2 linked regions of the Alligator mississippiensis genome follow. Each later gene encodes a partner of the first gene's protein in a complex. Links are inferred from orthologs where the notes say so. Each region holds a gene or a part of one and is shown on either strand. Other genes may lie near its edges.

Region 1 (16,086 bases):
TAAAGCCCTATGGTAGAATAAACCATTTCATATATAAGAAACAGAAAAGGAATAAATAGAATGATGAAGATTCAGCATTTTTTGGCTTCTCAAAACTCCTGCTGACTTAAAAGAAATCCAGTACTGAAAACAAAGGTACAGTACTTAGAATAATCAAGGCTCATTAAAGTGGTGCCTGATTCCAGACAGGACTAACAAAACTAGAAAACTGGGTAGTGTGGCATCAGATAATGTTCAGTTATTAAAAGAACCACTTAAGCTACTCAGTAGAGTTTTTTCCCTGTCTTGCATGACTATAAATCTCCCCAAGACAAAACACACAACAACAACAACAACAAAATACCAAGCTGTAATGAGAAAGAAACTGAGATAATATATAACACTATGGTGTGAATTACTAGTGCATCCTCACCTTAAATACAGCAATCCCTCTTGGTGAAATATACACAGAAAATATCCAGGAAACAGAAATAGAAAAGGTTTCAGGATGCCGTAGGAAGTGTAAAGAGCTGCTGGAAGAATGCAAGGATTTATGCTCATTTGGAAAAGAGAAAAGAAAAAAATAGGGCATAAGTCGGGCCAGTTCTACAGTTGGTACAAACTGAAATTATTGGAGCTATTCTGATTTCCACCAGCAGAGGATACCATCCATTTAAATGGTCATTGTCACCTCCTGTATATGGACAAAGCAGTTATTTTTACAATAATGTAACAGACATGAACAAGACACAGGAAAAAAAGACAATGTTCCCTGGTCCAAGGATTTTAAGACACGTAAGGTCCTAAAACTCAAAAAACTCTTATATGCAGGGCTTCCACTGAAGTCAGTGTGTTTCATAAATTAGATATATAATATAAACTAATATAATGAGGAATTAAATCAAATCATGGTGGGGAGAAGAGAGGGAGGGAGTTCCACAATAGCAACAATCACAACAGAAAGGAAAGGGTATACTGAGAAAGAATCCCCCGCTCTCCTTCCTCCCACCCTCAAGAATTTGGATAATTCATTGCCTCCGTCTCATGTACTTCTATAAACAGTTTTGTCTAATTTGGGGTTTTTTGGGCTAGGCATAGGACTCAGTGGAAATCAGTACTTAACTGAAAAGTGGGTTTGATAAGGGATTTGAAAAAGACAATGCAGGTTTATATTTAATTATAGTTTTACAAGGGCACTGTAAAAGGAGCACTCTGTATTATAATTGAATTATACTTTTACAAGGCATTGTATATTGCACCATGAACAGTACAATAATTGCAAAAGGAATAGTAACTGTAGGTGACAGAAGGTAACAAAAATAACCATTAGCAAAATTATAATAATGACATAAGAGATCACATTCTTTATACTAATTATGTTGGTAGCTGCCATGATTTTCAGATCTGATGGACATACTATGGACTCTTCTTTTAGGCTTTGTAAAAGGATCAATTACCTCATTCACATGAATCCAAGATGACTTCAAATTTAAGATGACCCTCCAACAGTTAGATTCTATACATGCAAAATGATAAATTTATTATAATTTTCCATGCATAGAATCTAATTATTGGAGGGCCATCTTAAATTTATCCATCTCAAGGCAGCACTGGAGGAAAGCAATTGCCTGCCCTCCTTTCCTCTTGTGCCTGTGGCTGCCCCTCCGCTACTTGCCCCTGCCTCCCAGTGGCTGGCCCCCCTCACCGTTTGCTCCCTGCTTCCCTCCCTGCCCATGTCCTCCCCATGTCTATGCCTTTGCCTGCCCCCTGCTGCCTGTTCCCGGTGGTTGCCCCCCCCCCCACCTCCTCACCACTGCTTTCCTTCTGGGTAGCAGCTCTGGCTCTAGGGCAGTCAGCAGCAGCCCAGCCCAGTCACGGAGAAGCAGTGAGAGTGGCTCTGGGCCCAGCAGGGGAGCTGAAGGTACACAAAAAAGAATACCAAAAAACAGGTAACTGGATAAAGTGTTTTTCTTTTCCAATTTAGCTAAAACATCATAAATTTGCCTTCCAAGAAATATTTTAGAGGGTGCCTTTATATTTAACTAAAGATTCTTTAATAGCTGTTGTGTCTTTATCAGGCATAGTATCTCAACTGAAGTTTTTTCTATTTTTTCAAAGTTAGAAAATAGTAAAGTTTGTCAAGGGTCTGTTAAAGAAAAATTAACAGTAAGTATTTCAGCATCTCCACAGTAGGACTTCATAATCTAAGTTTCAATGTATGACGTATTTTTAGGACTGATCTATAAACCCATGGAAGCATTTGGATATGAAAATACCTAGAAAACCCTAATTTAAAGGGCCAAGTGAGTTTCACTTTAATAAGGAATGAATACTAGGCATTTTGAACAGAACTTTGTCCATGTACTCTGCTTCTCCTTTTTTTTTTTTAAGATGTTGTATGCCTGGGCAGTTTAAAAATGATTTTGTAATGTAAGCAAAGACCAAACAATGAACATTAATTTAAATCTTACATCCTTTCTCTCACATTAACTCCCTGTACAATATAATATTATATAAACACAGGCTAATACTCCAAACTACCTAGAGCAATTCTTCATTGGAATGTGTTTTCTTAAGGATAATATAGACAACAGCATTATAAGCAATGCTGATAGAGCTATCTTCTCAAAGACCCTCTACGATGAAACACTGGAAACATTTATTTTTGTTCATGTTTGGATGGTATTTTGGAATTACTTTATAAGGAAATAATTAGAAGTTGAAATTTACTGTGTCTTATGGCACTTTGGATGGTAATAGTCTGAAACAAGCTTGAAAAAAATACTGACATCACAATCTACAAGGTTCATCTGCATCTCTTAGAAAACACATTCTCCTATGGGACTACAGCTTGTAAATCAAGGGTTCAAGTCATTCCATTGGAAAAACTGGAGAACAGGACTGACAGGACCACTAAAATTGAGCATGGCCAAACAATATTATTACCAGGCAGTATTTTATCTCAGCTTTTATTCTGAAGTAAATTTACTCCAGAATAAGCAGCTGATATATTACCAGCTGGCCACAATAAATATTATTATGGTACCTGGCCACTAGGTGGTGGGAAACCCATTTGTATATAGCAAAATGCAATTACAGAATGAAATGGACTAAGGAAAGAGACGCACAACACATTCTGCATAATAATTGTACACAGTAAAGCTACAGCACATTTTTCAAGCACTAACTTTACTCTGGATCCAAGTATTTTATTATGTAGTTGGCCTGTGTACTGTATGATGTGTCCATGCTCACACTTATAGGCATGTCTTATTTACCTAACTGAAGAACTGAAAAAAATTGGTTTTGCTGTGCTTATCAACATGACTAAGAGTCACTAATAATTCAAACAGGGGGAAAAGTATCTATTGGGGTTTTCCAGGGTCTGCTCTGGGCCTGTTACTGTTCAATACTTTCAATTAGTGATTTGGAAGACAAAATTTAGTGTAAAATAGTGAATGGCACCGAGTTTGGAGAGGTGGTAAGCACTCCAAAGGATGGGATTAAGCTACAAAGTGACCTTGATATATTGGAAAAAATGGTCTGAATAACAGGGGCAAAGTTATGAACATGGCACAAGGTGACCAGTGGCATCCTTCAGGGCTCAGTACTTGGGTTAGTTCCCTTCAACATCTTCATTAATGATCTGGATTCGGGCATCAGATGCAGGCTGGCAAAGTTTGCAGACAACTCTAAACTATGGGGGAAAACAGTCACAGTGGAAGACAGGCTGGGGTTACAGGCCAACCTGGACATACTTGCAAGGTGGGCAAACCAAAACCTAATGGCCTTCAACATAGAGAAGTGCAGAGTGCTCCACCTTGGAAGGAAGAATCAGCAGCATACTTATAGACTCAGCTGTGATACGTTTGCTAGCACCACGACCAAAAGAGACTTGGGGGTCTTGATTGACCACAAGATGAATATGAGCCAGCAATGGGATGCCATAGCTGACAAAGCAAACCAAACTCTGGCATGCATCCATCAATGCATCTCAAGCAAAACCAGGGATGTCATCCTCCTGCTTTACTCAGCCTTAGTGAGGCCACAGCTGGAGTACTGCATCCAATTTTGGGCCCCCCACTTCAGGAGGAATGTGGATAAACTTGAGAGAGTCCAAAGGAGAACCATCCATATGATTAATGGCCAAGAGGGCAAGCGTTACAAGGAGGGGCTGGGGAACTTGGAACTCTTTACCCTGGAGAAGAGAAGGCTCAGGGGGGACTTGGTGGCAGCCTACAAGGGGGGAGCATCAGGACCTGGGAGAACAGTAATTCACCAGGGCCCCCCAAGGGATAACAAGGTCTAATGGCCACAAACTCCTGGTAGGCTGATTTAGACTGGACATAAGAAAAAACTTCTTTACAGTCCATGGGCCCAGGGTCTGGAACAGACTCCCCTCAGAGGTGGTGCAAGCACCTACTCTGGACTCCTTTAAAAGGCATCTAGATGTTTATCTTGCTGGGATCATTTGACCCCAGCAGACTTCCTGCCTATGGCAAGAGGGCTGGACTTGATCTCGTGAGGTCCCTTCCAGCCCCTAATGTCTATGAGATCTATGAAAGTGATGCATTTAAATTGACAAACAAATGTACAAAGACACAAATAGGATAGTGACTGCCTAGGTTATAGTAACATAGGAAAGGATCTAGGGCTTATAATGAACTACAACCTCAACAAATTAACAGTGTAATACTGTTGCAATAAAGCTAATTGCATATTAGACTACAGAATATATTAAAAGGAGTCCTCTACTGAAGTCACAAGAAGTGATTCTTCCTTTCTATTTAGCACTGGTAAGGCCTCAGCAAAACCAGTGGTGTCCAATTTGGGGAACAACACTTCAGCAAAAACATGGGCAAACTGGTAAGAGTCCAGAGGAAAGCAACAGAAATTATTGTAGGCCTAGAAAACACAATGTATGAAGACAGGTTGATAGAACTAGGATTATTTAGCTTGCGAAAAGGGAAGACTGAACTGGGGGTAGATGACTGTGATCAAAGAGAACAGCTGGTCACCCTCCTCTGTCAACAGTCCCTTTTGTATTTAATAACACGAGGACATCGCAAGCAGTAATGGTGTGAAATAACAAGATAGATCTAGGTTGTATATTAGGGAAAACTTTTTATGAAGATGGTTTAAGTACTGGAACCGACTAGAGCAGAAGTGCTCAACCACCAGCGTGGGAACCAGATCCAGCCCATGGAGCCAATGCCATGGCTCCCCAAGGGTCAGAAAAGTTAATGGTGGGGGAACTGAGCAGTGTTATTTGCTACTGTCCTGCTGCCATTTCTGGACCTGTGGGAAACCTGCAAGCCAGATAGCATGGCCCTCCCTGCTAGATCAGTCATGCAGGGTTGGGGCTACATGAGGCTTGATCCAGAAACACAGGGCCATTTCATTATTTTACTGGCTTACAGGGTGCTCTTTCCTTCCTGTGACTTAGTTTCCCAATCTGTAAATGGTTAGTGACATTGATCCTGAATAATGATAGTGACCAAAAATCAGTATAAAAAAAAGCTCAATATTATGATCTTTTAAACTATATATATTGACTACTGTCACTTTTGAATGAGAAAAATTGCAAATAAGATTTCCAAAAAGCAAATGAAACTGGTAGTTACTTCTGTAATTTTTAAGGACCAGACACGCTTTACACTTGGTAGATCTGTTTGAAACTCAGAAATCTGCACGTTGTTATACAGCATAAGCCCATTCTCCCATGATCCATAGACTGTGTCACAAGGTAGAAGGGAATACATTCCTAAATCAAAGTGATGGGCTTTTCTTTCTTTATGATGTTCTTAGCTCTGCCTGATAGCCATGTGTTAATTTATCTGAGCATTTTGGTACCCATCTCATTTGAGATTGCATTAGACCCCTTTGAAATAGTACTAATATCTAATGAACAGTTTGAGTTCAAGTTGATTAGAACTAATTTTATTGGAAGACAATATTTGCTATTTAATAAAACAAATATATACCACCTATGATTTGTGTAGAAGGGCAGTGTTTCACATTTATTGATCAAAGTCCTGTTATGAACTTGCTACAACTTACCAAGTCCTATGAAGGTATAATTCCCTCTTTTAATACATGCCATTCAATTCATGTGGCTATAAAACAAAGCAGTGTTTCTTTTGCCCATGTATTTATTGCAGTTCCTCTAAGATATTAAAGCTGACTGGAGCAGATGAGGACTTAGCTGAAATGCAATCATCATAATAATGGTGTTCCCAGAATTTCATATATTTGACAAATCAGTGGCCTAATTCAGATCTCATACTAGTGTATATTCAAGGAGTCAATGGAAATATGCCAGTGTAAACCTGAGAGGCAGGTATGAACAGAATCAGACTCCATATTTCTATGTAAATTTCCTCTGAATATGCTCTTATTTCATTTGCTATGATAAAAATATCCTGATACTAAAATTATATTTCTACATTTAATACAGGATAAAAGAAGAATTGCTATTCCATATTTATTCTAACAAGTAGAGATGCTTTTTTAATTTACATGAGGAATGGGGTCTTTGAATGTTAGCTTCAAATTAGTTGAATTAATTGAATTAGTTGAATTAATGAATAAAACCCCAAAATAAAGCTCCATTCTTATAAAAAAAATATTAAGAAAGCATAAATAAATGAGACTAGTTTGTGGTGTGGAATATGTTACTAGTATGATATGAAATGATAGAATGTCGCAATTACTTTTACTATTAAACTAGTACTTCAAGAGGTTGACAGCAGTAACAAAATTAAATCACTGGGAGAGAAAAGGGATTAGAGACCAAACAGTATCTTTGTATTAACAGCAGATTTATGTTCGCACACACAGAGAAAAAGATTGATATTTCTACATACTTTTCTTTAAAGTATCTACAAAGTGAAACTTTGGTGTCCAAATTATTTCACATGCTTACTACAGTTAAGTTCAAGGAAAAGCACATTTCTATGAGTAATTGATATTGTTATTAATAAAACTAGATTTTTCTTAAGAATTAATCTTGCCTAAGGTTTACACCCTCAAATAATGTTCACTAATAGTAATATGAGTTAAGTCCAAAGAGAAAAAAAACCCATTTGGATTACTATTGCTTCTAAACAATGGCATCATACCCATCACTGGTAGAGACATCATAAGGAAGACTTCTGTTTTTAAAAAGGAATGTCTCCTCTCATGTCATTCATAGCAAGGTAATTTACTAAGGATAATACAGTCATTAATAGCAATGTTTGAAAGTTCAGCCCACATTTCTTTCTATGTCCCACTTGCTCACCACCACCCAGAAAGAAAAGCAAGTTCACAACCCAAATACAGCCCTCTTCTGCAGGCTGCTTTCTGGCTTTTCTTGTGACCTCCATGCTCAAGATCAGCATAACTTCTGGCTGTCATTTTAGAAATTCAGGATCTAAGAAATGGCAGCTCTTACTTAGTCCATCTGAAACAGGTAGTGAAAATGATCAGTAAATACAGAAATAAACCAAAATCCACTTCAACATTTCATTATAACAAGTGCTCTCTCTCAGGCACATGATGTAAATTAAGAACTGCAAAGCTAGGAAGAAAACCAGAGTTATTCATAGAATAACATACATCATGTTCAGAGTAACCTGCCTGTAAAAACAAGCAGTTTTAAACTTGTATTTTTAATACTTTTCTCTCATGTAAAACATTCTAGATTCACAGGAGGAGAATCCCAGAATATATTGTTCTGGTATGATAGTTAAGTCATATTTGATAGAAAAGCTCTTTATGCTTATATATATTTTTGGGGTGTGCAAAGGAATATTTCCGGCTAGACTTAATTTATTTCTTTCTGAAGGAGAATGGGGTACAGTAAGTATAAGTACACTCCATGCATTGATTGACTACTACCTCAGACTTTAAAAAATTACAAATATCTGTACAACAAATCAAGAATGATCATAGGAAGTCTTGGAGGAATAAGAACAGATCTGAACTTATCTACAGAGTTGCAAGGCATTCTTCCTAATCAACATGCCAGGAAATGTGGCTGTGTGAGAGGCTGAGAACATAATAAATCCAAGACTTCCAACCTTCACAGATTAGGCTGGAAAAAGAGATCTGTAGAACATAATCCTATTGTACTGCCTTGTCTATTAGAAAAGATTTGAAATGTGAAATTTGACTGCAGAAAGGATCAATTTATTCCATTATTTAGTAATTTCCCATTTATGATTTCACTTGTTTAAACAGGCTTACAGTTTTTTGAAAACTTTACATATCATTTCAGGTTTATCATTTCGTGGCTATACCCCAGTGAAAATATGTTTGTATATACTCAGAGAAAAAATGCTAAAACACAAGCATTTTAATCATTGTTATTATTCTGTTAATAGGTAATATAAGGGTAATGAAAATTTATAAACTGTGTCTTAAACCCTCAGTTGGAGAAAATATAGTCTCTCTTATATTAACTAACATTATTAATACCCTGTTTTTTAGGGCTTGATCCAAAGGCCACTGAAATCCATGGTAAGACTAATTGATTTCAATGGCCATTGGATTGGGCCCACACAACCATTTGTATGAGCATCCCGAACTGCATTACAAAGGAAGGTACATACCATTATTTCCCATTTACTGCGTCTAATTTTTACCCAGTTTTCCAACTGCACCTAGAGATACTATCCTGCATTTGTTTAAGATTCAAAGATACTGGTGCTTTTACATAAAGGTGTACACATGTACAAAGCCCTAATTGACTCTGTTTCTTCTTTTCTACATTCTATTATCAATGTACTATTACCTTGTTAAATGTTGACAGAAAGACTGATTTGTTATACATGTTGTTCATGATTTACTGGCCATGGCAAAAACAGGTTCACTAGAGAGGCACTGTAGACATACAAGCTGAAACCATCTTACAAGGGGTTAAGTTTGTAATCACTATCTAGAATATTTATAATCCCAACCACAGCCCAGTAATAGAAGAGGGTGGATCTAGAAGGTGCAGGAGGAGACGTGTTTATGTGTGTGTGCATGTTTTTTCTTTCATGTATCTATATTGCTTTCTATTCTACTGGAATAAATCTTTTCCATTTTGAGCAGAAATCTATATACTAGTTATCCCTTATGGATAGTTGAAAAAAAGACCTTTACTAGGACAACCACCTTTTTTAAATCGTTCTACTGAAGATTTCATTCAGGAATATTTTTTGCTTATTGGCAGATGAAAGAATGGGCAGATAGTTGGAAATCAAACTTTCTCCCCAGTAGAAGCAAACCTGTGGAGCCTGAACAATGGAAATAGTTGATGATAGTCTACTTGAAAATGGAACCAATATTTCTGCTCTTTTTTGTGATATTATCTTGGAAAATGATACATTTTTCTGTGTGGATGACTCACCTCATCCTGCTAAAGGTATGTACATGAAAATACATTTTTTTCAGAAAGCAACAGTTTGAGCTGAAAGTAAAATCAGAGATATTTTTAGAGAAACAGGTACTCAGAGGTTTTTTGAGGCAGAGCAAAAACAAGCATTAGCTGATAAATTCAGATAAGCAACAGACTAGCAAGTAATTAATATGCCCCGTCTCTTCAGTTTATAAACATGGCAGGAAAGAAATATAAAGCTAAAATGAAAAGATAACAATAGTGATACCAAGTCAAAATACAGATGGTACCACTTGAATGCTTAATAATATGTACATACTTTGTAGTACTATTGGAAAATTCAGTAACTGCAGAGTTATATGATTATATGCAGCATATGAAAGTGATTAACATGATATATGTCATGCCTAAAAAAAATTACTAATTATAATAATACAAATTGCCATTTATTTTTGGTTCTTAAAATGAGTTCACTGTAATTTAAATTGTGCTTTGCAATGCTTATTTTTGAGTAGCATGTACTTCTAAGTAGCCAAATATAGTTGTTAAAGTGTACAGTGTATTGAATATATTGTACTTAAACATTATACAGTTCAGGTAGATCAGAATCAAACTCAGAATTTACTTCCACCAGTTTTACTTTGGTGTAAAGATACCAGCTTCAGTGGAATTAAATATAAGAAAAGTCCACTGCCTTGAATGTTGAAGCAGCCTTTACCTTTTGATTAACAGATTAGACCTACTGATAAAAACTAATACAGTATATGATTTGCATATTTCATAACTAATTCTTTATTGTGGCAATTTTCAGATTTGCATCAGACAGTTCGGATTCTGCTGTATTCCTTGATATTTTTGCTCAGTGTGTTGGGGAACAGTCTGGTAATTACAGTGCTGATAAGAAACAAAAGGATGAGGACAGTCACTAATATATTTCTGCTGTCACTGGCTGTCAGTGACTTGATGCTTTGCCTTTTCTGCATGCCATTCACCCTCATTCCTAACCTGCTGAAGGATTTTATCTTCGGTAGTGCTGTTTGTAAAACTGCCACCTACTTCATGGGTAAGTCTCTCAATTGTAGCATTTTATATTTGCTCTAAAGATGAACCCATTAGGGTTTGTGAAATGCTAAATAAGGGCCAGATCTTTTAACATGCTAAGATATCCCAACCCTGGTGAAACAAAATTGAGTAAATGTTAAGAGCTCATTGGAAAGATCAGCACTATGAAATGCAAGTAGCACAAGCAGCGACTAAAACCTCTCACATATAAAGGTAAAAACTTTTTCTGCACAAGTAAAATGGACTAGAAGGAGTCCTGTTACGAAGAGTGAGGGTGACACCCATTTATAATGAGCATCGTGTTCAGAGTCAAATCTGCTCACTTCGGAGACAAATGGTTTTACCTTTGTTGGACCAGCAGTCAATACAGAAATAAGGACTCAGTCTTGCAAGGTGCTGAGCTCTCTAGTATAAACCAGTGAAACCTTTGGAATAGGTTGAGTGTTCACTACTTTACAGAATCAGCCTCTAGGAAGGGAGCTGCATTCAAGGCCCACTTGCTTATTATCAGCAGAGCAGTTAACAGTTTGGATTGCTGGGCAAATACATTACGATTGCACAACCATAACCAAGGGCAGAATTGTCTACTCCTAAGTGACAAATGAAAAGGGGAAAAACCCAGCCAGGTTTCAGCCTCCCTGTTGGGGCCTGAGGAGGCGGCAGGCTGTGAAACGCACACACACACACACTTTTATTTGTAAATGCATCAAATTTGTCCAGAAGTCAGTGGAGAACAACAATTATGGAGCCTCATGATACTATTTTTACACTCACTTTGAAGAAGCAATATCATTTTAAAAATGCTTTGGCTGGACATTTGTCTTGTTACAGAGGTAGATCCAGGAGCTGCAGGTAGACTGGTTTATGAAGCAGCTGCAAGCCACAATCTCTCACTTCAGAAGGTTTACTTAAAAAAATGTAAAGTAACAACAAAGCCATTCTGAAAAGCTTTTTTTTCAAATCTCGAAAGCAAACCTTAGCAGTTCATTACAATAATGTATGTATGTCCAACCTGCATCCTTCAAAACTATGAGGTAGTATGAAAGTGCACTTCTGAAGTGTGGGAATGGGAAGTCAACATCTTTCTTTAGATATAAATCAATAACACTAAAGTCCATATTTAAACAAATTGTAATGAATGCTGACACGACAAAAATTACTGAAGCACTGTGCTTATAATGAAATAAGTAAAAATATCAGACTATCACGTTAAATTATTCAGAATACATACACACACACACACACACACATCTATATCTACACACACACATTCCAGTATGAAATTAAAAATTACAAATTTAATTTTATTTTACGAATCAGAATGTGGATTTTCCTGTTAATAATTTAGGCCAATGGTGCTCAGTCTTTTTCCTCCAGTGGGCTGGTTCACCCGTGTACAGTCCATATGCTGGCCAGATCCAGCCAGTGGCCCCAGTCAGGGCTGGGGGATGGGGAGGTGGGCAGCCTGGCCCCAATCCATCCCTGAAGGCAGGGATAGAAAGGGGTTTGACCTAGGTTCAACCTGGCCCCAGAAGGGAAGGGGGCATGACATGGCCCTGATCCAGCTCCATTGGGGTCGGGGAAGGGTGGCCCAGCTTTAATATAGCCCCACAGGGCCTGGGGTTTTTAAATTTGGCAGTGGTGGAGAGTGGCCATATTAAATTGCCACCATTCCCCTGTCACCAAATTTCCAAATCCGAGGTAAGCCCCGTAGGCTAGATACCATGGTTCCATGGGCCACATTTGGCCCACAGGTTGGAGGCTGAGAACCCCTGATTTAAGTTAAGAAAGGAACAGTATTGATGAATAGTCCCTGATATGCACTGCATCTCCCATCCACTTAAACTGTCACTTTAGGATGCAAGAGGGTTATAAATATGAATACTACAAAGTAGAAATGATTTTTGGCAAGCAACCTTTTATGTAAAAATGTTAATATCTTACATTTTTTATCTAAGAGAAAATAATTTCATACCAGAAAATTCCTATGTGACTTAAGGTTAAAGGGAAAGAACATTTCTAGTCATGCAGCAATTGTTATTTTACAATTATAATTCCCCAAGGTCACAAGGGAAAAAAAATATATGTATAACACAATGTGTTTAAATGTAATGTTATTTTTATATCTACTAGCAAGGAGGAAAAATGAACATACATTTTATAGAATCAGGTTCTAATTCTCTACTACACTTCCTTCAGTTTGGTTTTATATGCCTCCACTAAAGACTATGGAAGTGCATTTGATGTATGCTTACTTAATTCTAACAAAACAGGAAGTTTAGTGATTCATCGAAAAAGATAATTGTGGTTATTTTATTTAAAACAAAAATATACTTTTTTATTGCTATCAAATTAACTCCAGTGATTTCAAATGCCTGATTATATTTCAGCAAAGTTACATTAGCATAAGAACTGGAATAACAAAAGAGTAGATAGTCATAGTAGGTAGGGTAGATTTGTATGGTATAGAGTAACCAAAAAATGTATATGTATGTTCATGTGCATATTTATACACACACACACCCCTGCACATTGATACATATCTATCTAACAACCTTTCATGGGCTAGAGTGCATGTGTGCACGCACACAGAGCATCTGATGAAGTGAGCTCTAGCCCACAAAATCTTGTGCTATATCTCTACTTTCATTGGTCTACGACATGCAAGTATACCTGCCTTGTACGTAAGGTAATGTAAGAATCTTATGCAACTGACCATATAACTTCTTGCCTTGGTAGAACAAAGACGAAAGCTGTCAATTATTTTGTTTCACAGGTTTGAGTAGTTAAGTATAAATCTGGAATATCAGATTACAAAACCCAAGTACCAGAAGGCTGTGTCAGAGCTACTGCCATAGTTTCCTTACTGTGCATTATGTACCCAGAAGTTTAGCCAAGAATCTTAAAAAAAAAACAACCAAAAGAACAAAAAAGAGAGCCATCTGTCTTTTGAAAGAAGAATAGACATAATTAATTTGTTTGCTTTCCATGTCTAGGTATCTCAGTCAGTGTATCCACATTCAACCTGGTTGCCATATCTTTGGAGAGATACAGCGCCATTTGCAAACCTTTACAGTCTAGGGTCTGGCAGACAAAATCTCATGCTTTGAAGGTGATTGCTGCTACCTGGTGCATCTCCTTTACCATCATGTCCCCATACCCAATATACAGCAAACTGGTTCCTTTTACAAAACCGAACAACAGTACAGCTAACATGTGTCGCCTGCTTTGGCCAAGCGATGTCATTCAGCAGTCCTGGTAAGATATAATCGACTCTTAAATATCTGATAATTGTCTGGTATCAAATAAAATTACATGGTTGCATCAAGCCTGTTGCAAATCCATTATTAACCATTAGAAAAAATTTAGAATTCTGGTATGCTTATTTAGGAAGTTCCATAGACTGCTATTTCTTAAACTGCCTTTTTTCTCCTTTAACACTGTCATTACTTTTGCTTCACAAAGGTGATATGGTATATGCCAATAATTCTCAGGCTACAGATGGTAAAATATCTGTTGCCTTTGTAGTGCTCTCCCTAATAGTAGAGCTCAGTTCTCTACTCCCCCTTTCAAAGTGTTTTTGATCAAGTACTCTTGAAAAGCCATACACATCCACACCCCTGTACCCCTTCTATGACTCATTCTTTGCCTGCGTAGAACGGATGTAGTTCCAGTTGTCAACAAATAAGATGACATGCACATTGGAGAGAGAATAAATGTACTCGAAAATGGAACCAAGCTAATAACCTGGAGAGATTAGAGCAGAAATGTAAGCAGGCAATGCGAGGAGAAATCAGTGCTATTAAAACACAAAGCCATATGCCACGAGACTGTGAATAAATGGTAAAGATACAACATAAGAACATAAGAAGGTGCAACATTGCATTGAAAACTAGTTTATTTTTACCTTGTTTCCTTAATATTTTCTTTTTCACATAACCAAACACTTTGGCTATCACAGGAACAGTATAGGAGTGTTGTTAATAACTTTAGCAGAACCTGGGAACAAGCCAATAGCTGGTACTACCTAGTATTGGTGCATCTACAGAAACATTTATTGTGTGTTAATATTTTCAGTACTTATTATGCCTGCTATAATGAGCATGCATGAAAAGGAAAGTTAAAGAGTTAAATCCTATTTCCAGTGACACCAGTATAAATATAGGGAAACTCCAGTGAGTGTGCAGTAAAACTACTGACAGCAGAAAATGTTTAGGCTCAAAAATACATGATTGCTTTGTTAATAATATTTTTAAACAGAACTTCTGTCTGTTGCAATCTTTTAATAGTATGGTTTGATGAATATACTGTAAGGTGGATAGAAAACTGGCTGAGCCATCAGGCTTGATATCCAGCTGGTAGCTGGTATTAAGTGGAGTGCCCCCAGGGTCAGTCCTGGGACTGGTTTTGTTCAACATTTTCACAAATGACCAGGAAGATGGGATGGAGTGCACCCCCATGAAGCTTTCCTATGACATCAAGCTAGTGGTGAGTAGTAGATACATTGTAGTATAAGGCTAGAATTCAGAGAGATGTCAACAAATTGAACCAAAAGAAATCTCATGAGGTTCAATAAGGAGAAGTGCAAAGTTAAGACAGAACAATGCCATACACACCCATAGAGGCTGGGGACTGACTGGCCAAGCAGCAGCTCTGCAGAAAAGGACTAGAGGTTACAGTGGATAATCAGCTGAATATGAGCCAAGTATGCCCTTGTTACAAAGAAGGCTAATACTTGTTATGAAGCAGGCTAATGGTACACTGGGCTACATTAGCAGGAGTGTTACCAGCGGATCAAGGGAAGTGATTATTCCCCTCTATTCAGCACCGGTAAGGATACATCTGGAGTATTGTGTCCAGTTTTAGGCCTTCCCCCCACACACTATAGAAAGGATGTAGACAAGTTGGAGAGTCCCGCAGAGGGCAATGAAAATGGTTAGGGGCTAGGGCACATGACTTCTGAGAAGAGGCTGAGGGAACTGGGTTTATTTAGTCTGGAGAAAAGAAGACAGAGGTGATTTAATAGCAACCTTCAACTACCAGTAGGGTGTTCTGAAAGAGGATGGAGCTACACTGTACTTAGTGGTGGCAGATTCTAGAACAAGAAACAATGGTCTCAAGTTGCAGCAAGGGAAGTTGAGGTTAGATAGGAAGACAAACTTTCTCAGGAGGAGAGTAGTGAAGCACTGGAAACAGGTTACCCAGATTGGTTGTGGAACTCCATCCTTGGAGGTTCTGAAGATCAGACTAGACAGCCCTGGCTGGGATAAGATAGTTGGGGATGGTCCTGCTTTCAGCAGGGAGTTGGACTAAATCATCTCTTGAGGACCGTACTCTAATTTTCTTTCATTCTATTATATTAATGTCATACAGAACAACATTTTAATAATACATTGATTACTATGTGTAATAAATATTGAGTTTCCTTTAAAGTGGATTTCCCACTATGTGAATGGTTCAGTACCAAAACAAAACAAAAATCCAGCCCTAGTATGTACCATTTTTCCTTTGGAATGGGCATGAAGTTGGAGGTGAAACAAATACCCATCTCATTCCCTTGCTCTGGTTGGCATGTTGTTCTGAGGCTGGGTACTGTCCTACCCCAGGAACATAGGAATGACCAGTATCAGCATCTCACTTATGCACTAGTAGGTGGTTTAAGTTTCCATATCATAAAAAAA
Region 2 (16,030 bases), on another chromosome or scaffold:
TTTTGGCATGGTTCTCACTGAAGTGAGTTTTCAATTAATATAAATATTATTTTTCATATGATGGATAATATTTAATTTTTAAAAATAAATGTATGGTGTTCTCAGTTTATGTCTTATATAGACTGATGTGTAATCAGATGTACAGTAGGCTGTAATGCCCTGGGGTTAATGTAAAAATGTTTCTAACATCCAGAAGTAAAATTCCCAACAGTTTTCCAGACTGAACACATTTTTCAGCAGTCATAAATCACAGAACTGTGTGGTACACCAGGCAATACTCCATATTTGAATGGTAAATCTCTCAAGAGTGTGTTCTCTCAAAAATCTGTTTTTGAAGGGAAGTATCCAGGTCACTCAGGATTAAACACATGTAGTGTTACATTTGTAGGTTAACATAAATTACAGAGAAGAATAATGTGATTCATATCTTCAGATGAAAAAAGTTGTGTCACCTGCGCAGTTCAGCCTTGGGACCTCAAAAATGGCAAATGGTTCAAAGGGAAAATTGTCTTTAATAACTACATTAATAGCATAATTTAGCAAAACACACATGAATTTAAGTTTAAGCAAAAGTAACCCCACCACAGTCTAGCAAACCACTTATTCACATGCATTAGTTCTAGTATCTTTAGGGGGACTTAACCACATGTACAGGTACTTTGCTGAAACAAACCTAAGGACACAGTTCTGTACAGTCATTTAGGATGTATTTATTTGCTTGTTTGGCAATTATCCTCTCCTTAATCCTCGGAATTAAAATGTGACTCTTTGACTTCCTATTTTACTATTGAATTGTATGCAGAAAAGTAAAAAATGTATATTGCAAACAATAAAGCAAAAGGAAAGCAAGAATTAAAATATCATGATATTCTAGGATGAAACTATTAGACCAACATTTCTTTCATCATGAGAGGCTGATTATCTGAGTTTGACAGTTTTATTTTATATCATACCTGGATCTCCTTATGTATTCAAATAATCTAGGAGCTCTCAGGAATTGTCCTGTATTATGTCAGAGGTAGGTCCCATGGAGAACAGAGATAATCACACCCCACCCACACCCTACCTTCCCACATTCACATGCATGCTTCAGAGTTGGAAGTTCAGCCACAACACAACACTACCCTGGATTCATTCCCAGGACACACTCTTGAGCATTCACTGCATCTTAGACTGGGCATTGGGGGGTGAGTCTAGAGCAGACTCCCAGCCAAACTTCTGACTGTGGAGCAAGTCAGCTGATGTGGGTGGGTGAGGCATGCTTATCTGCAACTTCTGTGATATCCACCCCTGAGCCAGTACAGACAAGCCGTAGTAGTCTTGTTGAAATCACAGAGGATGTACTGGGAATGAACATAAATGGTATGAAATACAAAGTCATGCACTTAGGAATCAATAATAAGAACTTTGACTATAGAATGGGAATATATCTGGAAACAACTGAGGAAGAGAGGGACCTGTCTGAATTGGTTAATGTTCATGAGCCACCAGTGTGATGCAGCTGTGTAAAAGGCTAATGTAATCCTAGGGTATATTAGATGGGATATAGTCAATAAAGACAAGGAAGTACTAATAACATTGTACAAGGCACTGGTAAGACCCCACTTACCAATTCTAATTACCAGTTCTAATTACCAATATTCAGAAATATTAACTTAAATTATTCAAAGAAGACCTGTAGTGATGGTTAAGTGAATGGAGATCTTTTCTTATGGGAGATTAAAGGACCTTGGCTTGTTTAGCTTAAAAAACAGAGATGGATAAGGGATATAATAACTCTTTAAAAGTTATTCGTATTCAATATTAGGAAGAAAGAAGCCTATTTTTAGGCTGAAAAGCAACGTTGGCACAAAATCAAATGGCTACAGATAAATTTAGATTGGAAATTAAAAGATTTCTAGCTATCATTGTCTAAACTTCACAGTCTAAGTGAAGTTTTGGAATTGCCTTCTAAGCCAAGTAGTGGTCCAGAATTGTTTTATGATTGAACTTGATAAAGTCATGGAAGTGACAGTATGAGAGGATATTGGTTCAACAATCATGTATTTACAATCCCCATGTTGGGTAACTCTCTTGTAGTGTAACAGGTGTCTGAGAACTTCTTGCTTCAGGATTTTTGGTGGTTGCTTATAGGGGCCAGGAAGGATTTTTTTTCCCCTTCATGGATACTATTGGCTTCTGGAGAGAAAAGGGTCTCACCTCTTTCAAAAGGACATTGGCCATTGCTAAGGTTAAGGGGACTTTGAATGGAGTTTTTGACTGCTTCTGCCAGCACTTAAAAAAGCAAAGGCTCCTAGCTGGAGAATTTTTTTCTCTTCCACTCAGAGTAAACCCAACCACCAAATTTGGGATCAGGAAGCAATTGTTCCACCAGGTGAGATTGCCATGGACCGTAGTAGTTTTTGCCTTCCTCTTCAGGATCTTCTGACCATACATTAACCAACTACCTCTCTGTGAATGCCGTAACAAAGCACCAGCATCACCCTCAACTCCTCTGCTTTAACCAATGTCACGTCATAGGTGTTCTTAATGTTTTGCATATTGTGCCTGATAATTATGAGGGTTTGTGGAAGAATTTCCTGGATAAATAGTTGCCTATGAACCCAGGGTACTGAACTCAGTGACTCAGGAGGCCCCTTCTAGCCATGTATTTTCATGTTCGTAGCAGCTGACTTACCTTCCTTATTTATCTTTCCTAGATCCTAAAATTCCTTTTCTAATTTTCCATTTGTTCCTGAGCCAAAACCTTAATTCCCCGGCTTTGGTTCACTGGTAAACAAACAGTGCATTTCCCCATAAGGTAATGGTGGCAAGGTCAGCATGGTCTTACACAGAAAAATCCCCAGGGATTTAGAGAGGGATGCTATCAGTTCCCCTCGGGCTTCTTTCAGCCTAACCTCTCATCACACCCCCTTAAAATCCTGAAGTGGAGCAGACATCACACACAGAAACTCTTAATTAATTGGTAGAGAGATGCAGTTATCTCTGCTAGTCTGAAATCAGGGCAGGGTGGCACCTTAGAGACTAACAGGTTCAGAGAGGCATAAACTTCCCTAGGCAACAACTCACTTCATCAGATGCTATCAATTAATCGACAGGAGTGTCTTCACTGTACCATCACTAGTGGGATGAGAAAATGGAGTTAATGCTGATTAGTGATCTTCATGGTGCCCTACTCCTACAAGCCACCTGCATGCCCACCACTCCAAGCAAAATGTGGACACATTATTTTTCCTATTGTGTTTCTTCCTTCCACACATTGGCCGAAGTGAACAACTTTCTCAAAAGGGGTCAGAAGCCTTCAGTTCTCTGCATTTAAAAGACAGTCTAAGACCAAAACCAGCTAACAACAACTGAGTCAATATGAACAATAGTGTTAAAAGAAATGAGTTTTGTCTCTTAAAATGTACTCAGGGGGCTCTTCATATAATCATGAAGTTTGCAGAAATGATATATTCACTGATATGTTTGTATAAAATGAGTGCCAGAAGAACATACAGTTCCACTCATCTGTTATTTGCTGCCAGTTCTTGCTATTTCATTATACATAATGGGACAAATTCATCCCATTTGTGGCCAACTCCATTGACTTCAGTGGAGCCACAATAAGGATAAATTTGCCCAGTATAGCTTGTACTTGTTCATAAGTAGCCAGGTCTTAGTAGAACAAAAATGCAGTGCAAATTAGAAAAACGTGATACTGACAAAGGAGAAAATGTGCTTGTGATCACACTCTTAAGCACTAGGCTTCCTTGGTTCCACAAAACAGCCATCTGGCTTTATCCTCTGTGGTATAACTTCCCCATATGCTTATGCTTGGCAATACATAGCTACTTCTCCAATATAGAGTGTAAATGTCTTTGAGTCTGAACAGTGTAATAAATAAAGGCCCATATGTTATTCCTTTATCTAGAAAAATATTAAATATAAGCATAATAAGTATATAGCTTCTATCATTCCTCATAAAACCATATTGTTGTAAGGAACAGCTGATATCACCCAGGAACTATATTCAAGGATACAAAAGCCACAGCCACTTAGCACACCTGTATCTACTGCTGTAAAAGGAGAAAGGATGTGCAAGTATCTAGGGATAACTGAGTTCCTTTATCCCTGAGAGAAAGGCCATAACACCACCTTTTTTTAAATGATCCCCATGATCTTGAAGAGTCACTATGTGACACAGAAAAATGTGACAGGAAAAGGATACACAAACCCAAGCTCTTTAAGAAGCTAAATTTACCCAGAAACAGGCTTTAGAAAGTTTCCCATTCTTACAGGGTGTGATTCCTCTAATACTGTAGAGAAAGAAGAGAAGCTCTGAATATTAGGATCCTTTGCTGAAAGTGAGAGGTGCCTCAGCCCTCTAAAATACAGGCTTTACCTGCTCAGATGACAGGCAAATTGTCACTTACAGACACTTGCATTGTCTAAATTGAAAAGCCTCTGTTTCACCTAACGGTTTCAACTAGATTTAAATTAACCTATAGTTTTGATTAGGAGCTTAACAACTATATACTGTATATGAGATTGTGGAAAACCTAAAGAATAAGATCATGAAAAGTTAGAACCCTCCCAATTACTATAATAACAATAAAAACTGCATGTTTCCTGGTATTTGAATATACCAGCCCATAATGGAGGTCAATTTAATTAGCTACTTTGCTGTTTTTGAAATAACATTTACAACAAGTTATCCAGATCCATAATAACTGTTTGAGAGATCTTTTATATAAAGCATCTATAGTCAAACTTCATCCTATCTCACTCAACTACTGAATTTACTTCACTAGAGTGATATCTTTCTGACCCTCTCAAAAATGCAAAAACTATTTATTGAGACCCAAGCATTCTATACAACATCAAGCACAGAACTGGAGAACACACAAATTATAACATACAATCTCAGAATCTGACACACAAAAAATGATTAAAAGAAAGTTAAGGTAGCAAATGCAAAAACTTCAGAATACCAGTTAAGATGCTAACCTGCTTTGAGCAGCATTACATGTTAACCTAATATGATCTATTTTTCTTAGTCACTGTGAAGAATGGTGAATGAATGATGAATATATTTGCTATGGAGGATAGATAGTGTGGATTGAATGAGGCAGAAAACCAGAATTTTGAACACTAGGAATAAAAAGTATCAAACAGCAGCAACATTCACTGAAAATTGTCAGACCTATGTACTGAACAAGGCAGAGTTTGTGAACAAGGCAGAGTTAGCAAATGGTTAGAGAGTTAAACACTCATAATGTAATACTGTAAATATTCATGAACACACTTCTAATATATGTAGATATTATATGTGTGACTATACAATGGACAGTCATAGTTTCTCTTTGTTTTGGTACAGCACTAACACCATTGCTGCTGTTTTCATGTATTTTGGAGGTACACAGCAGGGTTATTTGTTCAACAGCAAAAACAATGTATTTAAATTCTCCTCAATTACATGGCATTCCACACATTCAGGGCCACAGTGTTTGACCTATGGAACAAGAGATGCCCTTGTGAGAAGCATCTGCTTTAAGAACTTTTCAATGGCTGAGTTAGAATGATGTCCTCTCCTATTATTTAGAGTAATTTAGCTGTCAGGAAACATACAGCTGCTGTCAGTCTGTCTGAAATAGAAAAGAGTTAGGTTTTTCAGCATTTCAGCTAAAATGTATTTATAATCAAAGTAATATATATGTCACATCATACTGATGTAATTGAATTCCTGTCATTATGTACTGCTGATGTCATTTGCATTGACACGGTAATTGGTCACCCAGATCAACCTTTAACATTCCATATTATATATTCAATATTATGTTATACATATTAGTTGTCTGATTTTCTCCTACGTGAACCTCCAGGCTATTTCCATGGGAACTCATGATTTATAATATGTCTTCACAAGGGCTCCATGAAGCCACTCTTCAGGAGAAGTATTATTGCATAGTACCTTCACAGAAAGTTTGTGCTACTTCTCCAGCCAGTCACTGTGTGTTTTCATGTTGCCCATTTTGTTTCTGTAATACAGTGAGCAGTTTTATTATTAAGCCAAACTAGGGAAACTGACTAATCAGAAAGACCTTTTGGGCTTGGACATATGCCACTTTTACATTGGCATAACTTACAATGGTTTTGTACGCTGACCTTACACTGGGATCCAGAGTAGAGAGAGAATCAGGTATTCCAGGATAGCATACAGTATTACAGCTCCTGTCCACGAGATGGCAGGAAAGCCTCCAAACCTCTGGCCAAAGACTTTCTTGGGACAGCTCTACACATCTACACTTGCAGCACTATAACTTGCACCTGTTTAATTATATGCCTTGATTTTTCCCAGGGTAATTCTACACTGAATTCAAGTTAGTGACCCCAGTGTAACACTGCACATCATGCACCAGTGTAAAGGCTGATTACACAGATGTCAATATGCTATGTGTCCAAGGCTCAGTTTGACAGAGAGAACAAATTCTTAGGAAAGGGGAAACAGTTCCTTCATCAAAGCATCCTGAGGTAAATGCTGGCTCTTTTTGCACTGTCCCTCTTTTCTTCTCCTCTCTCCACACACACACACACATTCAGACTTCCTCTGTTCTTTGCAAATCCCTCCAGATCTGATTGAACAGCTGCAGCCTCTCTTCCCAGCTCAGTGAGCCAGGCCCCTGCAACATATCACACAATATACCAGCCATGCATGAAAAGTAAAACTGACCATGAGGGCAAAGTAGTTGTCACACAATTAACTAGTTGATGGCACAATATATTTTGACCAACACACACGCAAAGTAATTAGCACATGCTAAAAATGACTCTCTGGCTATAAAAAGAGCCAACCAGCTCTCAAATTAGGACTTGAAAATGTGTAACAACTCTACAGCTGATTTCTAACCAGTTTTAATTGGAAAGTGTAGCCGGGCTAGTCACCAACATCCCCTTCGGATCAGGAGTGTTAGACCTGCCTTGGCACTGTCCCAGGTGGTGATGGAGCCAGGTCCCAGGATCCAGAAGGCAGGAGAGAAAAGCATGGGTAGGGTGAAGGGATGGCAAAGGGTCCCAAGCTCACCCAATTCCCATCTCCCACCTTCTCCGCATGTTGCCAGTGCCCACCCCCACCACCACAAATGGCTCAAGATCAGGTTGGGGATTGGGGTGAAGCAAAGGCAGACCCCCAAAGTCATTAGGGCAAAAGACTGAATCACAGACAGGACCAGGTAGGATTACTGGAGACTGGGAACCAGTGGGTCTCTGTTCTGCCAGGCACAATGTGAGGGGAAGGAGTGGAGAAAGAAAAAGGAGAGAAATACTGGCCTGCAATCTACTTTTCCCTGGGGAAAAACCTGCAACTTGTGCAGATGCATCTGTGACTCAAGGATTGGACTCTGGAGTCACCACAAGATCCATCAATGAGCTGTGGTAGAGATCACCCTCAAATTGAGGGATTTTGGACAATGATGGCAAGGGGAAAGGGACTGGGAGGGAATCAGAAGTTGGCACAGCCTGAGGCTTTGCCACATACACAGGAGCCGCGAATCCTCTACAGAGGAAAGAAACCAGGGACCATGTTGAGGGGAAGGAGGGAGTTACAGCTCCTGGGGGAGGTCAGGGGTGGGTTGGAGGAATGAGACAGACCCCATCACCTCCCCCCTCACCTCTGAAGGGTCCTCACCTTCCCCTGCCAGCAGGGCCCAGAATCTCCCTTGGCCCCCAGCTGTGGTGCCAGCCCCGCGAGCCCCTGAGCAGAGGGGTTTGGAGCCCCTCGGTGCCTGCCGGGCAGGACAGACAAGGCAGCACCCCTCTGCCCTTGGGAAGAGAGGGGGCAGGATCCAGCCAGACACACACACACAGCAGGGATCAGTGTGCAGTGACCCGGGGCAGCTTCTGCCCCGCTTCACACACACATACACACACACACACACGGGCACAGCTGCAGTCTTGGCACGCGAGCCCTACGGGTGCAAAGACCCCCAACTTAACAAGCACCTGAAGCTCACGCAGCAAGGAAGCTGCGGGCAGGGATGGGTTAAGAGCCCGGAGGAGCTGCTCGTTCCCCCCTCCTCCCCGCGCCCCGCCTGCACTGGCCCGCGCTGCCAGCCCCCCCGCCCCGCGCTACTTAAGGCGGCAGCGGAGCACGGCAGCAGCTCTCGGCCCCCGACACCGCCCTACCCTGCCCAGATCTGCCCGGAGGAAGGTAGGAGAGGCTGGGACCGGCGCTGGCGCTCCCGGGCATGTGGCTTTCCAGCTCCGATCTAGGCGATTGGGGGACAGAGAGAGAGAGAGTGTGTGTGTGTGTGTGTATGTATGTATGTGTATGTGTGTGTGAGAAGGGGGGATGCATATTCTTACCCTGCCATCAACTTCTCAAACCATTTCACCTCCTGCTCCAGCTGAGCCAAAAAAGGAGACACAATCCCAGGGCAACCTGGTAGGGGACTGGCGATCAGAGCCACCCTCCTTAGCCCAAGCAAGGGGCAGAGCAAGTAGGGGGCGGGATCTGTGCTGGATGCCTCCGGACTCACTTTCTTCCCTTTGCATTGCAACTCTTCCCCTGCTTTCCTGTCCCCTCTTCCCAGCAATGATGATCACCCCTCTGCCAGGCATAAAGCATCCCCGTCATTGTTAAGCCATGGGCATCCTCGTTCTTGTGGGATGGGCACGTTTGCTTGAATCTTTTGCTGAAAGAGAAGTTTTTAGAAGCGTCCTGGGAAGGAATCACTCCGATGTCGAGGGGGTTGGATCCAGGAGGGACTCTTCACTAATGTGCATGCAAATGAGACATAGCAGCTAAGGTGAAGTGGCCAGCAGTGTTCTTTTGGACCGTGGGAGCTTCTATTTTTCTTTTTCCCTTTTCCAGAGTAATTTTATTTCGGTGCATAGGATCCCTGAAGGATCAACCATGCCAAAGCCTGATATCATTTTGTATAGTCTTCGGTCTTATTTGTCAGCAACGATGTATCTATTGCATTAGAATTCTCTGCTTGATAGACCAAATCAAATGGCTTTGAAAAGTTGCTTGAGACAAAATTTTAACCAAACAGCTCCTCCACTGTTGGAGCAAATGATCAATTTTAGGATTTGGTTTTTCTTTTACTTGGAGCTATCCTGCAGGGGTTGGTTGGTTCGTTTGTTAAGATATAATAAAACCATTGGAAATACTAGGGCCACACTAAAAAAGAGCTGCTAAAACAAATGCTCTTTGCAAACTTTTGAACCTGAAACACACACACTATCATTTTTAAATTTATAACAAAAAAAGTGAAATATTCCATCCTCAGGGGTCTTTGGGGGGAGGGAGGGGGTTGTTTTTGGGGGAGGCAGTTGTTGTTATTTTTATTTGTTTGTTTTGGGGGACTTGTTTTGTTTGTTTTGCGCATAGCGGGCACCTTCTGTTTTTATTAAATGTGATCTATAAAAAAGATGAATAAGAATCGAGTATATCAAGCTGTAGAGATGAAAGAAGGCTTGCAATTGCTTCATTTTTATCCCATCTCATGCTACTGTAGAGCTCAAAGATTTCTCCTTCTCCTTAAAGATATGTTGACACCTTAACTAAATTGCATGTATCCTCTTCAAGGTCTTAACCTAGATGCTTGAGTTACAGTACTTTAAAATCTGTTCTTAAATCAGCACTTTTAACAAGATGGCATAGTATGAAATAGAGCAGCGGTTCCCACCCTTGGGTCATGACCCAAAAGTGGGTCTCAAGAATATATGAAAGGGTCATGAACAATCATGGAAAAACATGAATGTCACTTGGGAGTAATGTAGGGCCACATCCTGATATTGTGCCTAATGTTTTCCTGCTGATACTGATTTCTGTCTTTAAAATTAAGACTGTTGAGCTGCTTTAACTTGTAGTTTTAACTTGGGGCCAAAATACTTTTGTGTATTTTCTACTTAAACTATTGCTGAGTCGGGACACTGGCTATCGATGTTTACCAATGGGTCCTGGTATCAAAAAAAATGTCGAGAACCACCAAAATAGAGGAAGATAATTGCTGTAACACCTCTGCTTCTCTTCCCCTCTAGCCATGTACAGCGGTATCTGCATCTGTGTGTTCCTTGCTGCACTCGCAACGATCTCCTTTGGACAGCAGTCTACAGGCTTTCACAATGCGAATCCTGTGGCCCCTGAGCTGGAGCAGAGCTTGACAGAACATCACCGACATGTTCGTACTCCTTCGTCTGCCAGCCAGCTGAGATCTGTCCAACGGGTGGATGGAAATGTTGACCAAAGAGCCAACATTGGAGCTTTGTTGACCAAATATCTCCAGCAAGCCAGAAAAGGTAATAACTTGCTTATTATGGCATGTGTTTGAGTCAAAGAACCACCCCCACCGCCACCTTTTGAGGTTCAGTATCTTTATAGATTTATAGCACTAGGGAGCAGAACTGAGAGCAGAATTGAGCCCATATGTAAGGCTTCAGATCAGCTTTTGATTTCAATTCCCTGTTTTGGCTCATAACTTTTTTCCACGTTTGGTCTCAGCCCAAAGGTGACTGGATTTTTCCTGAATCTTGTTTAAAAATTCATTTATTTTTAATTGAGCAAACAGGGGCAAAAATAATCACATTTCCTGTTGTTAAATAATAAAATTAAGACCAGACTAATGGGGCTGGCAACAAACACCAAGGCAGTGGAGGTTCAGCATTTCAGACACTGTGTATTTGCTAGTCCTTAGTGAGAAACTCCAGTTCCAGTCTGCACATGCACATACATTTGTAAGTCTTTCCAAGATCACAAGGTACATTTTTTTTTCTACAAAAAATTGAAAAAAAGGGGTAAGTGCTGGAGTATTTGTTTCTCCCCACACACATACAGTAATAATTTCTTTTAGGTTTTTAGTTTTAAAATCAGTTGAAAACTAGACAACGGCATTAGGCAACTATTACAAGGCTGTCTGATACTGCAGCTGGGTTTGCTGACAATATCAACTTCATGGGCTGGATTCTACAAATGCAATTTACGGGTTGGATTCAACAAACACTCACTATTCAGACCTTAGAAAATAGTGGTTTTTCTCCTGAAAAGTGAGGTGGTTATTCTTCCAAAAGAGATACTAAAAATTAAAACAATTACAGACAGCTTCCTAATCAATTCCCAATAAGAGGCTCATTCTTTTTCAAGTCATAGATGTCATGGAGAAGTAGGGCTGGAAGAGACCTCCAGAGGTCATGTAGTCCAACTCCCTGCCTGAGGCAGACCATCCAATACAACCATAGTCTAAGGGCTACAAGTGTTCTATTCTGAACAAAGGGAGGGTTTTTTTTCCTTTACATCTGGATGCACACTGCATGTTCCCAAGTGCAAGCTGCTGGCCAAGCACTTCTGGTGAGCATGATGGCTGCTATGAGCAGCAAATGCTACTGCAGGCAATGTGTTGAATTACAAAGGTCTTGTTTACCCACCACAGATTCCCTATATTCCACATTGCATTCCTGCTTTGCAGGGAAAGAGGATGTCTCAGAAGTGAAGAGGGTAGATGTCAGGAGCCCAGGAGGGATACAGTAAATGCTGTTACACATTGGATGTTCTATTCATGACCTTAGTGATGTGAGTTTCATCCTAAATGGGTGGGGGATAACCTTTTTGGCAGGCATACCAGAATTAGCCTATGCCCTCCCTGGGTGCCATGCCAATCCCCTTCCTCTGAGTAATCTGTTGCTCTTTCTGCTCCCTATTCTGTACTCTCTGCCCAATCTCCTACGCTTTCTACTACGTGCCATGTGTTCCCTGCCTGATCTCCTGCTCTGCTTTCTGTCCTATTGGCTGTTGTGCTGCCTGTTCCCTCCCTGATGTGCTGGATGCCATATACACTTGTGCCCATATACACTTGTGCTACAGGTTGGTCACCTTTGACCACAATAGTAACTACTTCCATTGCACCCCACATTGTGTTGGGTAGGGCTGACAAAACCTAAGTCTATGCCATGCAACAGAGTTCCACTTCGCTCCTGACTTCTCCCCTCCAAATATTTTCATTGTGGGATTTACTGTGCTGGCCTCCAAATTTAACTTTAAATTTCATCCTTACTCCTAATAGGGATCTACAACTAAGAGACACTGCATGCATTATATACAGTATATCTTTATAGGCATAGAAAGGTACTGGATATAATGTGCGCCCTGCACTGTGCATCACACAGCATCTATATTTGTCTAATGAATAGTTCATGCACACACTTACATACACATCTTTGTTATGTAATAATGGGGGAAAAAAGTGTTTGAAAAAAACCAAAAACACTTAAGTGTGCTCAGAAGAAATTTCCCCAGAACCTAGTGATGCCAATTCTAATTGTGTCCATTCAGAGCTCAGTTTAACAACCAATGCAATATAACAAGAGAGATTTGATGTTACATGCAAAAGATTAGTGACCCAATTATATAGGTTTTTATGAATAAGCAAAATGTTTCTTACTGGAATTCTGCAGAGTACCACCTCAGTCTCTCTCCCATTTGAAGAGTTTTGCTCTATTTCCCGAAAATCTGTTATCTGGAAGCCAATTTATTTATTCCAGTTCAGATATTTATTTACTAGATTTATTACACCCTCAAAACAGTTAAAAATATGCTTTAAAAAAAACCCAAAAAAACTTACCCCCAACCCCAAAAAAGAAACCGATCAGCTTGGGCATTACCCAAAATACCTGGCTAACATTTCCAACTATCTAAACCAGCCAGAGTGACAAACCTTTTGGCTTTAGGCTTTATTTATCCTAAATATTATGTGATAGAAAACAGCCTATGTAGTTGTATAGTTCAGTTTTCTTTTTTTAGATGCGTGTTACTGTTCTTTAAAAATTACCATAGGCATCTGACCCTATAAAGGTTATGCTTAATTCTAGAATATTACTGACAGGTACTTGGACCCTGACTCGTAAAAGAGCCTGTACAAGGAGAAAATCTAGGATTTGGAGTGACAAACCAAAATATATATATAAAAACCTTTGTATGGTTGGGTCTGATGAAAAGCACAGAATGGGCGTGCCTACATGAGACACGTACTGTGCAGCTAACTAATTATAGTCAACATCTCTGTGTCTATATGAGCAGCCCTCTTCAGTTTTTTTGTTTTTTGGTTGTTGTTTGTTTGTGGGTTGGGTTTTTTTTTTGGGGGGGGGGGGGTGTTTTTGTTCTCTCTTTTTTTTTTTTTTTTTTTTTTCAGGCACAGCAGCGCATACCAGTCCTACTCTGCTGCAGAGTTCTTCATACACTGCAGTGCATATGTAGATGCTGATGGCACTGGCTAGGGCATGAGGGTGCTTCACTCCAGGGGCTGCCTGACAGCTAGTCTCACACTGAAGCACGCTCGTGTCCCAACCAGCCCCTCTGCAACCCATTGAGCCTGGTCAGAGCAGCCCCAGACTGACAAGGTGACCCCCACCCTCCCAGGTCCCCTGCCAGCCAGCGATGCTGCAACCTGGCTCAATGTGCTGCAGTCCAGGCACATGTGTAAATCATTGCTCTGCACTTTATTGCTCTGGGAAGCTCCCAAGAGCATAAGCTCTGCAGTTTATTGCTGCATGTTAATGGCACATGTAGACTCACCCAATGATCTCCAGTTTACTTCCCTTTCAAGCCCAATACCAGTCATGTTCTCCCCCTCTTACATAAACGTGTACCTTTTGGGTCTGTTTAGGATGGCAGAATTCTCTTTGCCTCGCATACTTTTGCATTGCTCAGAAAGGTGCGACTTCCTCATCTTACAAGACAGTGTTGCTTTTAAATTACATAAAAATGGTAAAATGAAGGTTCTGATCAATATAAGAAGGCTCTAGAGATACCTCCCCTGCAGTACATCAGTCATTTTCAGACTAAATGGTTAGAAAACTCTATCAATTTAGCTGTATATAGATTGAATACTTTTCATTGCTATGAGTGGTTAATATGGATATTTGTTGTTATGGTTTATGTGGAGGGTCACTATTTACAGCTAGAACAGTTGGGGGGGGGGGAGTTCTCTTAAGAGGGTCGAGTTAGGAGCTAGCTTCTTTCCAAAAATGACCACAGTTTGAAAGTTGGAATGTTTGAGGTTCATTTGTTTCATAAGTGTATATACTTCACCATGCTTCAGGAATCTGGAGAAAGGTAACTAAAATGACCGCTATTTTGATGTTAAGAAATTCAGTTGACTAAACAAAACCACCAGGCCATTCAATTAAATAATCCTAAAGCCTTTTTAGCATGCATCTGGTATTTGGGTAGATGAAACGCACTGTGGCCATCAAGTCAGTGATGCAAAAATTTAAAATTCTCAAAGGAGCATTTTCCAAGGCAGACCATAATTAGTCCAGAGGAGCCATTAGTGCCCACTGGATCATTGATCTGCAAGCTCAAAAGTTTCTTAAGTAGTCCCTGATCTAAGACATGGTTTCCTGCTATTCTGCTGTGCCAAGAAACCATTCTCATCACTCCATAATTACATACTTTGAATTAAATGTGTGAATTTCGTGGCTTCTAAAATTAATCAAACACACTCTTATGTGGTTAAATGTTTGACATTTTGGTCCAAGTAAATGACTAAGATCTGCTGGGTTTTTTATTTCAGTTTATATTTACTCTCCTACCTTCTGCAATCATTGGCAAAGTGATTTAAGGTTTTGGGGTTTTTTTGTGTTTTTTTAAATGACTCATTTGCATCTGCGAAGAAAACTACCCAATTATAAAAGCAGAGAGGCGATAGGTGCTCCTTTAAAATATAAAACCCCATAAGCAGGAAAGCAGATTGGGATTTTTTTTTAATTTTTATACATTTAAAGACTGCCAAACTTGTTCCAATTAAGCATTAACAACATGGGTCTGGTCCTGTTCCCACTGAAGTTAATGAGAAATTTGACATAGACCTCAATGGTAACAGGTTTAAACTCATTTTCATAATTACAATGTTACTGCACTTGGTTTTAAAATGTAGCCACAGAAATGTAAATTTACATGTGTTTGGATAAATGCAAATTGAATTGATATTCTACAGTTCTTTCATTGCTAATTACATGGAAGAGTCTTTTTCTGTCTCATTAGCACCTTTTTAAAGTACAGGGTTTTCATTTATTACAGAAAATGTTGGCTTTAGCATCCCATTACTTTAATTATGTTGCCACCCTAAAGATATCTTTGCCTTTATGACAACAGCAGGGATCAGCAGTCTAGTTTAACACTGTATAATGTTGAGAGCTATGGAGACACTTGAGATCAGTTGTCCCCAAACCCAAGGTTTGTGAGCAATATGGTTCCCCTGAGGCTCTTCTATGTTGGCTGTATGTATAGTAAATTAGAGAAGACAAAGCTGAGGTTGGTGGGAACAACCCAGCATGAGGGTGCCTACAGCAAATGCTTAAACTCTTGCTGATGGGCCAGCAAAGGTTCAGAACCAAGACATTGAGTCAGCAAAAGTTTCTCAAAAGCAAGAGAGAAAGCAGGGCAGGGACTAACTCATTCAGAACTGTGGAGCATTTTTACATGTGCTTGGGGAGGCATGGGGGGTGCCTTAATGAGTATTTTTAATTAACCACCCATGCATCATATATTGGCATCCCCCATACTGAAAAATGGCAGCAGGGAGCTTTGAACTAAAGCTTATTGAACAAGCGTTAATTCGAAGTGCCCCACCACCATTTTTTGGTGCAGGGGCGCTCATACACATGATGACAGAGTCTGCTGGTGCATGTCTATTTCTGTGCTCCTGCAGACTTGATTTAATCGAGCCTGTGGAGACTAACCCTTAGAAACTAACTCATTCAGAAATGCATATGCTTTCTTAGGCAATAGCCAGCTTCATCAGATGCTATGGCAAAGTAGTCTCTAAGGAAGTGGTTCTCAATCTTTTGAGATTCAAGGCACTACTCATTAGTTTCATTGCACCCCTCAGAAAATGCCAGCTCTTGGTTTTCACTTCTTTTTGGCTACAGAAAAATAATAGAGCAATTCTTCTGTTACAAAGAACTCAGAAAGACCACAACAGGTCAGAATGTTTTTAACACTATAAATTCCTATTTGAAATCTCTGAGTTTATCTTGTGAATCGTGTTTGCAA

The links.
Region 2: the proteins of CCKAR (region 1) and CCK are in contact, whole or in part, in a cryo-EM structure (PDB 7MBX), measured with the Homo sapiens proteins. The link is inferred for Alligator mississippiensis from reciprocal best matches to the Homo sapiens genes CCKAR and CCK. Residues at the interface, in NP_000721.1 of Homo sapiens: Cys94, Phe97, Asn98, Pro101, Asn102, Lys105, Asp106, Phe107, Thr118, Met121, Gly122, Val125, Tyr176, Phe185, Asn194, Met195, Cys196, Arg197, Phe198, His210, Leu213, Leu217, Ile329, Phe330, Ala332, Asn333, Arg336, Ala343, Glu344, Leu347; in NP_000720.1 of Homo sapiens: Asp96, Tyr97, Met98, Gly99, Trp100, Met101, Asp102, Phe103.

What each region holds. Positions count from the first base shown.
Region 1 is NC_081825.1:40,046,605-40,062,690, reverse strand, and holds the start of CCKAR (cholecystokinin receptor type A), read left to right. Parts: upstream 1-9,003; 5' UTR 9,004-9,249; coding exon 9,250-9,370; intron 9,371-10,154; coding exon 10,155-10,406; intron 10,407-13,401; coding exon 13,402-13,663; intron 13,664-16,086. UniProt on the Homo sapiens protein: Receptor for cholecystokinin. Mediates pancreatic growth and enzyme secretion, smooth muscle contraction of the gall bladder and stomach. Has a 1000-fold higher affinity for CCK rather than for gastrin.
Region 2 is NC_081828.1:135,256,820-135,272,849, forward strand, and holds the start of CCK (cholecystokinin), read left to right. Parts: upstream 1-8,081; 5' UTR 8,082-8,188; intron 8,189-10,026; 5' UTR 10,027-10,028; coding exon 10,029-10,284; intron 10,285-16,030. UniProt on the Homo sapiens protein: This peptide hormone induces gall bladder contraction and the release of pancreatic enzymes in the gut. Its function in the brain is not clear.